Saccharomyces cerevisiae S288C: one gene and its partners. Changing the gene in region 1 together with any one later gene gives a genetic interaction. Each region holds a gene or a part of one and is shown on either strand. Other genes may lie near its edges. The genes, in order: FRA1, MUB1 and MDL1.

The links.
Region 2: mutations in FRA1 (region 1) and MUB1 together harm fitness more than expected from each alone (negative genetic interaction), as found in Saccharomyces cerevisiae (2 studies listed by BioGRID).
Region 3: mutations in FRA1 (region 1) and MDL1 together harm fitness more than expected from each alone (negative genetic interaction), as found in Saccharomyces cerevisiae (2 studies listed by BioGRID).

What each region holds. Positions count from the first base shown.
Region 1 is NC_001144.5:79,385-83,142, reverse strand, and holds the start of FRA1 (aminopeptidase P), read right to left. Parts: upstream 1,683-3,758; coding exon 1-1,682. Other genes in the region: RRT7 (Rrt7p), read left to right, coding at 2,446-2,787; mannose-ethanolamine phosphotransferase GPI13, read left to right, coding at 2,938-3,758. UniProt on the Saccharomyces cerevisiae protein: Involved in the regulation of the iron regulon in responss to decreased mitochondrial iron-sulfur cluster synthesis.
Region 2 is NC_001145.3:464,598-468,355, reverse strand, and holds MUB1 (MYND-type zinc finger protein MUB1), read right to left. Parts: upstream 2,057-3,758; coding exon 194-2,056; downstream 1-193. Other genes in the region: YMR099C (glucose-6-phosphate 1-epimerase), read left to right, coding at 3,529-3,758. UniProt on the Saccharomyces cerevisiae protein: Involved in the determination of the onset of polarized growth. Required for the ubiquitin-dependent degradation of RPN4. Cooperates with UBR2 to transfer ubiquitin from RAD6 to RPN4.
Region 3 is NC_001144.5:526,251-530,008, forward strand, and holds the start of MDL1 (ATP-binding cassette permease MDL1), read left to right. Parts: upstream 1-2,049; coding exon 2,050-3,758. Other genes in the region: SKG3 (Skg3p), read left to right, coding at 1-1,695. UniProt on the Saccharomyces cerevisiae protein: Mediates export of peptides with molecular masses of 2100 to 600 daltons generated upon proteolysis of mitochondrial inner membrane proteins.

The DNA of each region.
Region 1 (3,758 bases):
GTTGTACCCTCCAAGAATTGCGAACCGGAGTCGCAAAGATATATCTTGGTAGGATCAATCATCGAAGAGTTCTCTACGGGCGGCGAATAATGTATGATGGCGGCGTTACTACCTGTGGAGGATATTGTTTCGAAGGAATTGCCCATGAAGTTCCTTTGGGTTTTCCTAATCTCGGTCAATTTTTCTGCGGCACGATATTCATCTATCAGTGCCTCGCGCCCCACTAATTGCTGCTCCAGCCATGCAAAATACTGCACTAAACATACTGCGTCTTTGACCTGCGCCTTGTGTGCGTTTTTTATTTCGATGTCATTCTTGATAGATTTCAAAACATCGATGGGTGAGTGAATTATCGCAAAGTTTTGTGCAGTCATTTTTTTAGCTATTGCACCGTTAGCGTTGGTTGAGGTGTTCAAACAACGAACCATCTGCCACGATGCACTATCAGGAATCAAAAATTCATGCTCCGCAGAAGAAGCCTGCGAAGTTATCTTTGTTAAATGTTCCCATATCTGTTCGTAAGGTCTGACTTCAATACCGTTTATCTTAAAATATTCCGATATGTCATCATTGAAGGGGTTATTGGTGAAAAGAATGGTTTCGTCTTCGTTAATAGCCACGTAGGAGAAAAAAACTGGATTATAGTCAATGTCGGATCCACGCAAGTTCAACAACCAACAAATTTCATCCAACGCAACTACTATGAAAGTATTCCTACCGGTCGTCGCAGAGGAAGCCTTATCATTCAGCTTTTTCAGTAACTTTTCCTTCTTGTCTTTGAATTCTTCACCATGAAACTCGTATTTTAACAGTAGTAAATCGTTACAAGGCCTTTCAGGTAGAGTTTCAAAATCAGGCCAAATACTGTCAACTAAGTTTTCCTCCACGGGAACCAGCTCCACTTTACCCTTTGCGTCATATTTAGTGTCAATCATTTTTCTAAAAGAAACATAGTCGTTGAAAGTGATAAGTTTTGGGTCAATACCTATCTTCAACACCATTCCCTCTTTATTGCCAAGTCCCTTGGCCATTTCCAAAGCTTCTCTGACACACCATTCTTGCCAAGTGATTGGGTCTTCGTTTTGCCTCAAAAGTGTCCAATTATAATCTAGTTCTTGTCTAGCTTGATTGAAATATCTTCCATCAGTACTCAAAATGGATTTCCCATCCGGATGGTCATCGTTGAAATTTAACAAGTCTCTGGTGATACAGGCTACACCGGCCGATCCGGAAAACCCTGAAATGAAGGCGCGCCTTTGATCTCGCAATGATACATATTCGGACTGATGTTCGTCACAACTGGGCACAATATAACAACACAAATCGTGTTTCTTCATCTCCTGACGCAACTTCAACAATCTATCAGTAGTGTTAACTTCCCTGTTAACAGCGCATAGAGAGTCACATGAGTAAACAGACCCATTTCCAGCACTGCTACCTCCGCCAGCGCCCTTCAACTCGTTGAGAAGCATGCTGGAGGACCTCCTTGAATTTTCTAACTGTCTTAAAAATAGAGAGGCTCTACGACCTTGCCTAGACAGTAAGCCTGGAGAACACGTACAATCCGCACATGGCCTAAACGGTCTGGGGCTGTGTGATGCCGATGTTCCTCTCATGTGCGTGCCAGGTACATGGGAAATCGAGTGAGCCCTGCCGTCACTGGTGGATGGTTTCGAAGTCATATGAAGATTTTGTTTGTAATTATTGGTTTCGCTCTGTTGAGGTCTCCGTTTTTTTTTTATTCTTTTTTTTTTTAGCTATGCAGTCTTTTTGCCAGTGCTTCCTGCCTTTCCTGTATTTGTAAATATTGCACCTATTAAGACTAAACTGACTCAGTTTTTGTATGTCGCTTCCTTCTTGTTCCATCCCTCATTCGAAGTATTTCTGAAAAAAGAAAACGTAGAAGAAAATTCGGGAAAATGGGGTGCGATTTTTAGGGGTCACCCGGGGATATACCTTCGGGTAACACCAGAAGTCGTCAAAAACAAAACAAAATTAAACTAAACTCTGGCGGCTAAAAGATAATCATAATGCACATAGGGAAAGCTTTCTACCATATTTGAACACTTTAACGGTTAGTTGAAATAATAAGAAATAATTATATGTTTATTTTTACGTGGGTTATAAAGACGGGTAAATTATCTTCGTTATTACTCATGAAAACCTACAAGTAAGCGGCTCAATGGCATTTCGTGGCAGATAATCTTCAGCTATCATTATTATTTTTGAGAGGATGGTTTTTAGGAGCAGTTTGAGGAATAAACAAGAGCTTAATGTACCGTTATACATTTTTAAAAAGCTGTCTTTTTTATTGGGTTCACAGCTCTCATTTTTTTCCATGCAAAATCATTTTTTTAGCCGCCGATGCTTCAAAATGGGTTTAAGATATTTATTGTTTAAATGTTTCTGCATCTGGATTCACTGAAAAAAATTTAGACGCCTAACATGTATTTTGCATTTAAAGGATTATGCGGGAGAAGATTTCTGCCCATTGCCTCTTTTCTTACTATATTGAATAGAATATTATTCCAATACTGGCTTTTTTACAATTCATTAAAAGAGGAAAAGACATTTCAGAAAATTTTCTTCTCTATGAACCTTAAATGTAGGAAAAAAAAGGAACCAAACCACATCATTTACTCTCAACCGCCTTTCTTGTTGGGGTTCATGGTACAATTGCAAAGTTGTGTCAAGTTGTTGCCACTCTATCTTTTGTTTTTGTTACAGGGTAATGGCGCACATTATGCAAGCGCGATGACGAGCAAGGTACTTTCTTTTTTCCTTTAACATTTTGTTGTCCACCGGAAAATAAAAAAAAACAAATAAATGGGTAAGATCAAAAAAGGAATAGAAGCATATGTTTTAAGGGCAACGCCGAATCGTCAAAGAACGGGAGGAAGATCAATACATTAAGTGGAAAAAAAAAGCTCCCGTAATATGGATGAAAAGACAATTAAAAAGTCGATTCTTTCATCTTCCAATGATGAAAAAATAATATACAAATCGCGAATAAAGAAATTTCAAAAGAATCATAAATTTTATATTATTCTATTGGTTTTCATCGCCATTTTACAATTCATATCAATAGCTTTTTTCACTCGGGGATTCTTACTGTCAAGACACGTTCTTGATAATATTTCCTCACAAAACGAAACGAGTAAGTTACCTCCTAGGTTCAACAAGGCGGTGATTTTGGTTATTGACGCTTTGAGATTTGATTTCGCTATTCCTGTAAACGAATCCCACTCTAATTACAACTTGAACTATCATAATAATATATTATCATTGTATGATTCTTTTGCAAGCGATAAGGATGCATCTTCCCTATTGTTGAAGTTCATTGCCGACCCACCAACCACTACTTTACAAAGACTCAAGGGTCTCACAACAGGGTCCTTACCGACTTTCATTGATGCCGGGTCTAACTTCGATGGAACAGTAATCGAAGAGGATAACTTTCTTAAACAGCTCCATTTGGCAAATAAGACTGTCAAATTTGCCGGAGATGATACATGGATGGCTCTGTTCCATCCGTTCCTTTCCAACGATAGTTTCCCACTAGAATCACTCAATGTGTGGGACTTAGATACTGTCGATAACGGTGTTATGGATTACTTCCATGATCATTTACAGCAGGACAAGGAATGGGACGTCATGATTGGACACATGCTAGGTATTGACCATGTGGGCCACAAATATGGCCCCGACCATTTTACTATGAGGGAAAAACAAATTCAAGTAGATCAATTTATCGATTG
Region 2 (3,758 bases), on another chromosome or scaffold:
ATTTTTAATTAGTAGTCTTTTAATTATCTATTATATCCGGTATATAAAATATCCTTGCGCCAAGTGTATAGCTAATAAAATGTAAAAAAAAAAAAAATTAGGAACAAAAAATAAAAAAAGCGAAAACAAAAAACTCCGTTAATGAATATTTCATGATCTTGTTAAACCTAGGTCATCGAAATCCCCTTGTACTTTACTCAGGTATGCTATTTTCATCCCTATTGCTTATTTCATCAGGTACGGTGGTGGATATATTAGGAGTGAACGTACTGGTAGAATTCGAAACATCAGCTGCTGTAGTAGCGGTGGCATTTAAAGAACTAGGCTCATTTGGGGTATTGACACCTGTGGTAGTATTCGTGGATCTCATATGACTTGATCCAACTTCGTGACACCAATACCTATGATATCCCCATGCTTTTAATTGACACTTTCGTGAGCAATATTTCGTTCTTTTGCATCGACGACATTTTGCAAATTGTCTTGGAAAATCTTCCCATTTTCCGCACGAAAAATTGGCACACTGACGCACACCTAAGATCTCATTTTTTCGACATGAATTTCTCATGATGACAGAACTCCAATATATAACATCATGTGTATTTTCTGCGCTCACTGTATATTTTTCGACTAAGGGGAAGATGTTTACAACATTTGTTAGTACCTTGTTTTTGTAAACAATATTTGTTAATTCCTTTTTCATTTTATCGTAGCTCCAGCGCCTTTCAAAGTTATCAGATATTTTCTTCCTTAAATTAATTCTTTCCTTGTCTTTGCCATAGGCATTGTCGTCGCTAGGTTTCGGTACACGGTAGCGCTCAAACAAATTAAGAACGGGACAGTGGTTATTACATATTTCATTTTGTTCTTCTTGTTGACATCTGTTTGAGAGTTCTTCTAATTCTTTGAAAAATGGATCCATTTTGCTAGTATCTAGTGCCTTAACTTTGGAATTGTTTTCAGGATTTTTCGATAAATAAGGATATAATGAAGACAATTTTACAGTTACGTCTCTTTCTTGTTCTTCTAAGTCATTCTCTTCTGAGATTCTCTGTTTAATTTTGTAAGCCATACTTCTGAACGATAGGGATTCAACCAGCTCAACATTTTGAAGGGTTGATTTCATATATGTATACTTCGAAACAAAAGCTAATAACTGAAGCGACCATATAACGTCGTCTTGTTTGGGGACAATTCTTCCGAGAAAAAATTCACGTGGAGTGGAAATTGTAGGTCTATTAATGTCTGGTTGCGAAAAGAAATTCTTATGTGCATCAAAATTTTCACTTTCTACTTCACTATCAATATCAATGTCGTCGTCGTGTCTTTCCTGGTCAGGTTCAAAATTGCTAGCTAGGTCTGCAAACCGGCCCCATATATCACTAAAATCAGTTGGAATTGTCATAGACGGTGCCACTAATCGTTCGTTTAGAAAATTTTTGTCAGTTGACAACTTCAATTTATCCTGACCTGTAATGAACTCTATATACTGCTGATATGTTTCATTCTCATCTTTTCTCATGAATTTATACATTGTCTCCGTGGTTATCCCTTTGAAGTCAAAGGTCATTGTTTGATCTTTGATGAAGTCGTAATTTTTATGATATAGTAAATAGTTATCCAATACTGTGACCAGCACAGATAAGACCCCAGACATTACCACTTTTTTACGAATTTGTTCTGTCCCTCTAGTACCTGTCAATACTAAGCACTGAAATGTTAAAGTCCATTTCCAAGCGCATAGTGCTAGTCTTTTCTCCTTCCATAGATCCTTTATGTTTTCGTGCTCATTAAAATTTTCTAAATCCAAATCCAGCAACTCAAACAAACTTAAATGACAACTCCTCAATATTGAGACTAATCTTTCGAGAGCACCGTCGTTAGCTACCGTTTCCCTAACTTTTGATGAATTAGAGGTTAGATATGTTAAGTAGTTTAGGGAGTTTATTAACGGAATACTAGAGTTGATATCCAATGCCCTTCGGTCATAGACAGTAGATGTTATTGTTACTATAGGCTTGTTCGACGTTAATGATCGATGATTAGAGTCTCTCATTTCTTTACCTTTTCTTTGTTTTGAATATTTCAAATTACGTTCTATACGCTGTTATGATATGTTAATATAGCAAAAACAAACAAAAACTCCCAGGGAAATGAATTGAAAAATGCAACAAATAGGGACCTCACCTTTGTATAATGGAAGATTCCCAAGTTTCACTTATAGTTGATCAATGGGTATGATGAAATTAGCAAAGTAAAAAAGGGAATGTTTAATGGTTCAACTTAGATAAATGGAAGGTTGAATATGAGAACCAACAAAAATAAAAAATAAATAAAGTCTCAAATTATCTATATCGCTCTAATGAGGAAGTCACTGTGCACACTTACAGAAACTATATAAAAAACGGATATTTTTCTCTTCAGGTAGGGAAGTTTGTCCAGCACTTTCTTCCTTGTGAGCTGCTCTAGGTCTTTCGTTTGTATAGGCCGACCATCAATAACCCAACTCTCAAATTTTGCCACTGAACACCCATACAATACATAACCAAAGTATTCTAGTTGTTATCCTAGCTCGATGCATTGTTGTAGTAGGCCTAATAAGAAGATAGTTCAACCAAGAAAAATAGTCAAAAGGCTTTTTGCCGTTTGAACCATCATAAACTTATGGAAGCCATCTAAATAATTTTCCTTTTTCCTGGTTCCTTTCTATGTATCCAAAGATATATATTAAGTAGCCCACTTCTAGCCAACTTCTAGCCCACTTCTTAGGTAGTAACTATACGCAGCTGCTCCAGGAGGGAAAGAAAAAACCAACGGTCTATATTGTAATAACTATTAGTTTTCTTTCTCTTTCCGTGGGCTTCAACGGCCTTTATATAGCTCTTATTATTCGGAGTTGCTATTGGCGGCTAATATCTTGCGAAAAACGTGAGAATATGAACTTTAAAGTACACATGACTCGATTACTGATAACAAAATTGAGAGGGAAATACATAAGTCAAAATAATAAATGTCTGATGGACCATCTAACAGTTCACCTCGATCTACATATATTTCAATGCGAGAATGATTAATTCTTGCCATTGACAAACAACCCTTTTACTGCCAGCGCCTTTCATAACCATGTAGTTTTATATGCCTAATTATAATAAAGCATGACATATAATGCCAACCCCATATTTATATAGTTAACTTGAAACCGAGATTCATCTATTGCACCAGGAAAAGTGCCTTCTTCTTAAAACATAAGTTACGTCCCGACCATTCATCTAAACGGCATCAATCATTGCAGCAGAAGAAATAGTGTGTAGATGTCCTCGTTCGCTAGACGCAGTCAATGATAACAAGGTCTTTCTTCAAGCTGTCTTTCCATAAAAAGGTATCGCAAATGGGGTCACCAATGCGCCTTTTATTTTTCACGCCGAAAGAAAACTTAGTAGGTCCCTAGAAATGAATAAAGAGGTGATTCTGAGGTTCATTATAAGCCTTTGGTAAAACTTGAACCAAGAAAGATTAAAACACAAAGCCATGCCTATCAAAGAAACTGATAAAGAAGTTGTTTTGACTCATCCAGCTGATGAGACCACCAGCGTTCATATTCTAAAGTACGGTGCTACAGTTTATTCTTGGAAATTGAAATCTGAAGAACAGTTGTGGTTGTCTACTGCTGCTAAATTGGATGGTAGCAAACCTGTGAGAGGTGGTATACCTTTGGTCTTTCCTGTATTCGGGAAAAATAGCACCGATGAACATTTGAG
Region 3 (3,758 bases), 450 kb from region 1:
ATGATGAAGTCGCCGGCAATTAGTTCAGCTGAATTATTTGAAGGGTACGATTCTCTCCCTGAAAGACAAATGGAAAGTCCGCAAAAATCTAAGATGAAGTCTCCTACATTAGCATCGACCGATGATATTAATTCCGCTTCTGCTTCCGTAAACTCACATGCTACCTCAGTAAAACAAACTGAATTATTTGTGACTGATAATTCTTCAAAAATCAATGACTCTGTGTCGGCGCAGTCCAGTGTCACTACTAACTTCAAAGATACTTTTACCACCCCAATGACATCAGGAATGCTCAACCATGAAAATTCAGAGAGAAGCTTTGGTTCAGGATTAAAACTCAAAATCACTGATTCAAATTTGGAAAATATGGAAGACGTTGAAGCGAAATCTGCTAACGAATTCTCTACGACACCAGAAGACAAACATATTCACCTCGCCAATGCAGCCGAATTATCCGCCCTTTACGACAAATATTCCACATCTCCGTTTGGTAAATCGGAGGCTAATTCAAGCCCTAAACCTCAAAAATTGGAAGTTAAAGATCGGTCAAAAAATGAAAACAGAAGCCCCTATGAGAGATACGTAGGTACATCCGCTGAAAGCAAGACATTTGAAATAGGTAACGTCAGAGAGTCGAAAAGTACGATAAATACTTCCCTTTCTTCGCCTTTGAGGGTAGAAGATAGTAGACGTTCAAAAAATGAGGACCTGGGATCTTTGAAAGAGTTTGAAGAGTTATCTCAAAAGATTAGCAATATGGGAATGGCAAATATTTCTTCAGAAGCTTTAAGTGACACAGCAGAAAACAGTTCTTTTGTTACGGACCTGAACTTGAATATCAATAACAGTTCATCGGTCAATCTCAATGAAGAACAACGTGTGCCGGATTTTGGGGAGGAAAACGTATTTGATCCAGATTATATGGAACAAAACCAAATGTTGGAAACAGAAAGTAGGTACACTACGGATGAGTTTGACTTTTCAGATAATCAGGATGCAGCATCCAGTAATTATAGCAATGGGCAAACCAACCGAACAGTAACTGAAACCCTTTCTGCCAGTGACAGAAATGACAAGATCCCACATTCTTCTTTATTTACAAACTTAAACCAGCTTACTTCGAATGGAGGAAACTATCAGGATAGGGAAGATTTCTCTGGTGATCAAATAAACAAACCTCAACAATCTCAACCACTTCATGTGAAAGGACCACAAACTTCGTCATTTGGTTACAGAAATTCTTCAGCCAATAGCTCGCAGCCTCAAGCACCATACCCGGTTGGTCGCCCGTTAGGTAAGATAAGAACGGGTCCGCTGACCGTCCAGCCTATGCAACAAGGTGGAAACTCATCAATGTATTCTTTCCAATCTTCGCAACATCGGTTTCATTCGTCGCAACAGCGCCAAAACCAATCACTTTCCTTCAGAAACAATACCTATGGAAGTGGTAACAATCAAAATACATTCCATCCATCGCCGCAACTGCAACAACAGCCTCAAAATATGAGATATTTGAATAATAAGTTACCAATAAATGATAGATCTCCAATACCGCAAACACAGCACCATGTACCAGATGGCCGTCCCAGCCTCCATATAAATACCACTAACCGCACAAATCCGCTTACTGCACAAAGTGGATTTTCTCAATTTATGCCTCCCAATAGCACATCAACCAACCCATATTCCAGCTGATTCATTTATATTTCATCTTTTCTTTTTTTTTTTTTTACAATTCAGTAGTTTTATATAACTTCCCATAAATGTATTATTTTTTTAATACGACTATAATATACCTCTATACCCTTATTTATCTCTTTACCTTTGCTTTTAAGCTAAACAAATCTTCATTAACAGGTATTATATTACTGGCGTCGCGTTTCGTTTAGGCGCATCGAGCCGAGACTTCAGAATCACAAATGCTTTGTATATATGTTACGTATTCAGTATTGCCCAACATGCAACTAGATTCAACTAAGCAGACGTGGGTACTTACATGAGAAGCAGATCATTGAAATTTTACTAAGTTAAAGAAGAGGAAGGGCTCCAATGATTGTAAGAATGATACGTCTTTGTAAAGGTCCAAAGTTGTTGCGAAGTCAATTCGCATCAGCAAGTGCACTATATTCAACCAAGTCATTGTTCAAACCTCCCATGTACCAAAAAGCGGAAATTAATTTGATTATTCCACATAGAAAGCACTTTTTGTTGCGGTCGATTCGATTACAATCAGACATTGCGCAAGGAAAGAAGTCCACCAAGCCCACTTTAAAGTTGTCCAATGCAAATTCAAAATCCTCGGGGTTTAAAGACATTAAACGGCTATTCGTCTTATCTAAACCGGAATCCAAGTACATTGGTCTTGCCCTCCTTTTAATCCTCATTTCAAGTTCAGTTAGTATGGCTGTACCTTCCGTTATCGGTAAATTATTAGACTTGGCTTCCGAAAGTGACGGCGAAGATGAAGAGGGCTCAAAAAGCAATAAGTTATATGGTTTTACGAAGAAGCAATTTTTCACAGCATTAGGAGCAGTATTTATAATTGGAGCAGTTGCTAATGCAAGCAGAATCATCATTTTAAAGGTCACCGGTGAGAGACTGGTCGCAAGATTAAGAACGAGAACAATGAAAGCTGCATTAGATCAAGATGCCACATTTTTAGATACTAATCGTGTCGGTGATTTGATCTCAAGATTATCATCTGATGCATCTATAGTGGCCAAATCGGTCACACAAAACGTCTCTGATGGAACAAGGGCAATTATTCAAGGGTTTGTCGGTTTTGGCATGATGAGCTTCCTCTCGTGGAAATTGACTTGCGTAATGATGATTTTAGCCCCTCCTTTAGGTGCTATGGCACTGATATATGGTAGGAAAATACGAAACCTATCAAGACAGTTACAAACCTCAGTAGGTGGGTTAACAAAAGTGGCAGAAGAGCAATTAAATGCTACTAGGACAATTCAAGCATATGGTGGTGAAAAAAACGAGGTTCGCCGCTATGCAAAAGAGGTTAGAAATGTATTTCATATTGGTCTGAAGGAAGCGGTTACTTCCGGTTTATTCTTCGGAAGTACTGGGCTAGTTGGCAACACTGCAATGCTGTCGTTATTATTGGTTGGAACAAGCATGATTCAAAGTGGTTCAATGACTGTCGGTGAATTATCTAGTTTCATGATGTATGCCGTGTATACCGGAAGTTCATTATTTGGTTTATCGAGCTTCTATTCAGAACTTATGAAAGGTGCTGGTGCGGCTGCCAGGGTTTTTGAATTAAATGACCGTAAGCCATTGATTCGTCCGACTATTGGAAAGGATCCTGTGTCATTAGCCCAAAAACCCATCGTTTTCAAAAACGTGTCATTCACTTATCCCACTCGGCCCAAACACCAGATTTTCAAGGATTTGAATATTACTATCAAGCCTGGTGAACACGTTTGCGCTGTCGGTCCATCAGGAAGCGGCAAATCAACAATTGCGTCTTTGTTGCTCAGGTACTACGATGTGAACTCAGGATCGATCGAATTTGGTGATGAAGACATCAGAAATTTCAACTTGAGGAAGTATCGAAGACTAATAGGATACGTGCAACAAGAACCACTACTTTTCAATGGGACTATTCTGGACAATATCCTCTACTGCATTCCGCCTGAAATTGCGGAGCAGGATGATCGTATTAGACGTGCTATTGGAAAAGCTAATTGCACAAAATTTTTGGCCAATTTTCCAGATGGATTGCAGACTATGGTTGGTGCTAG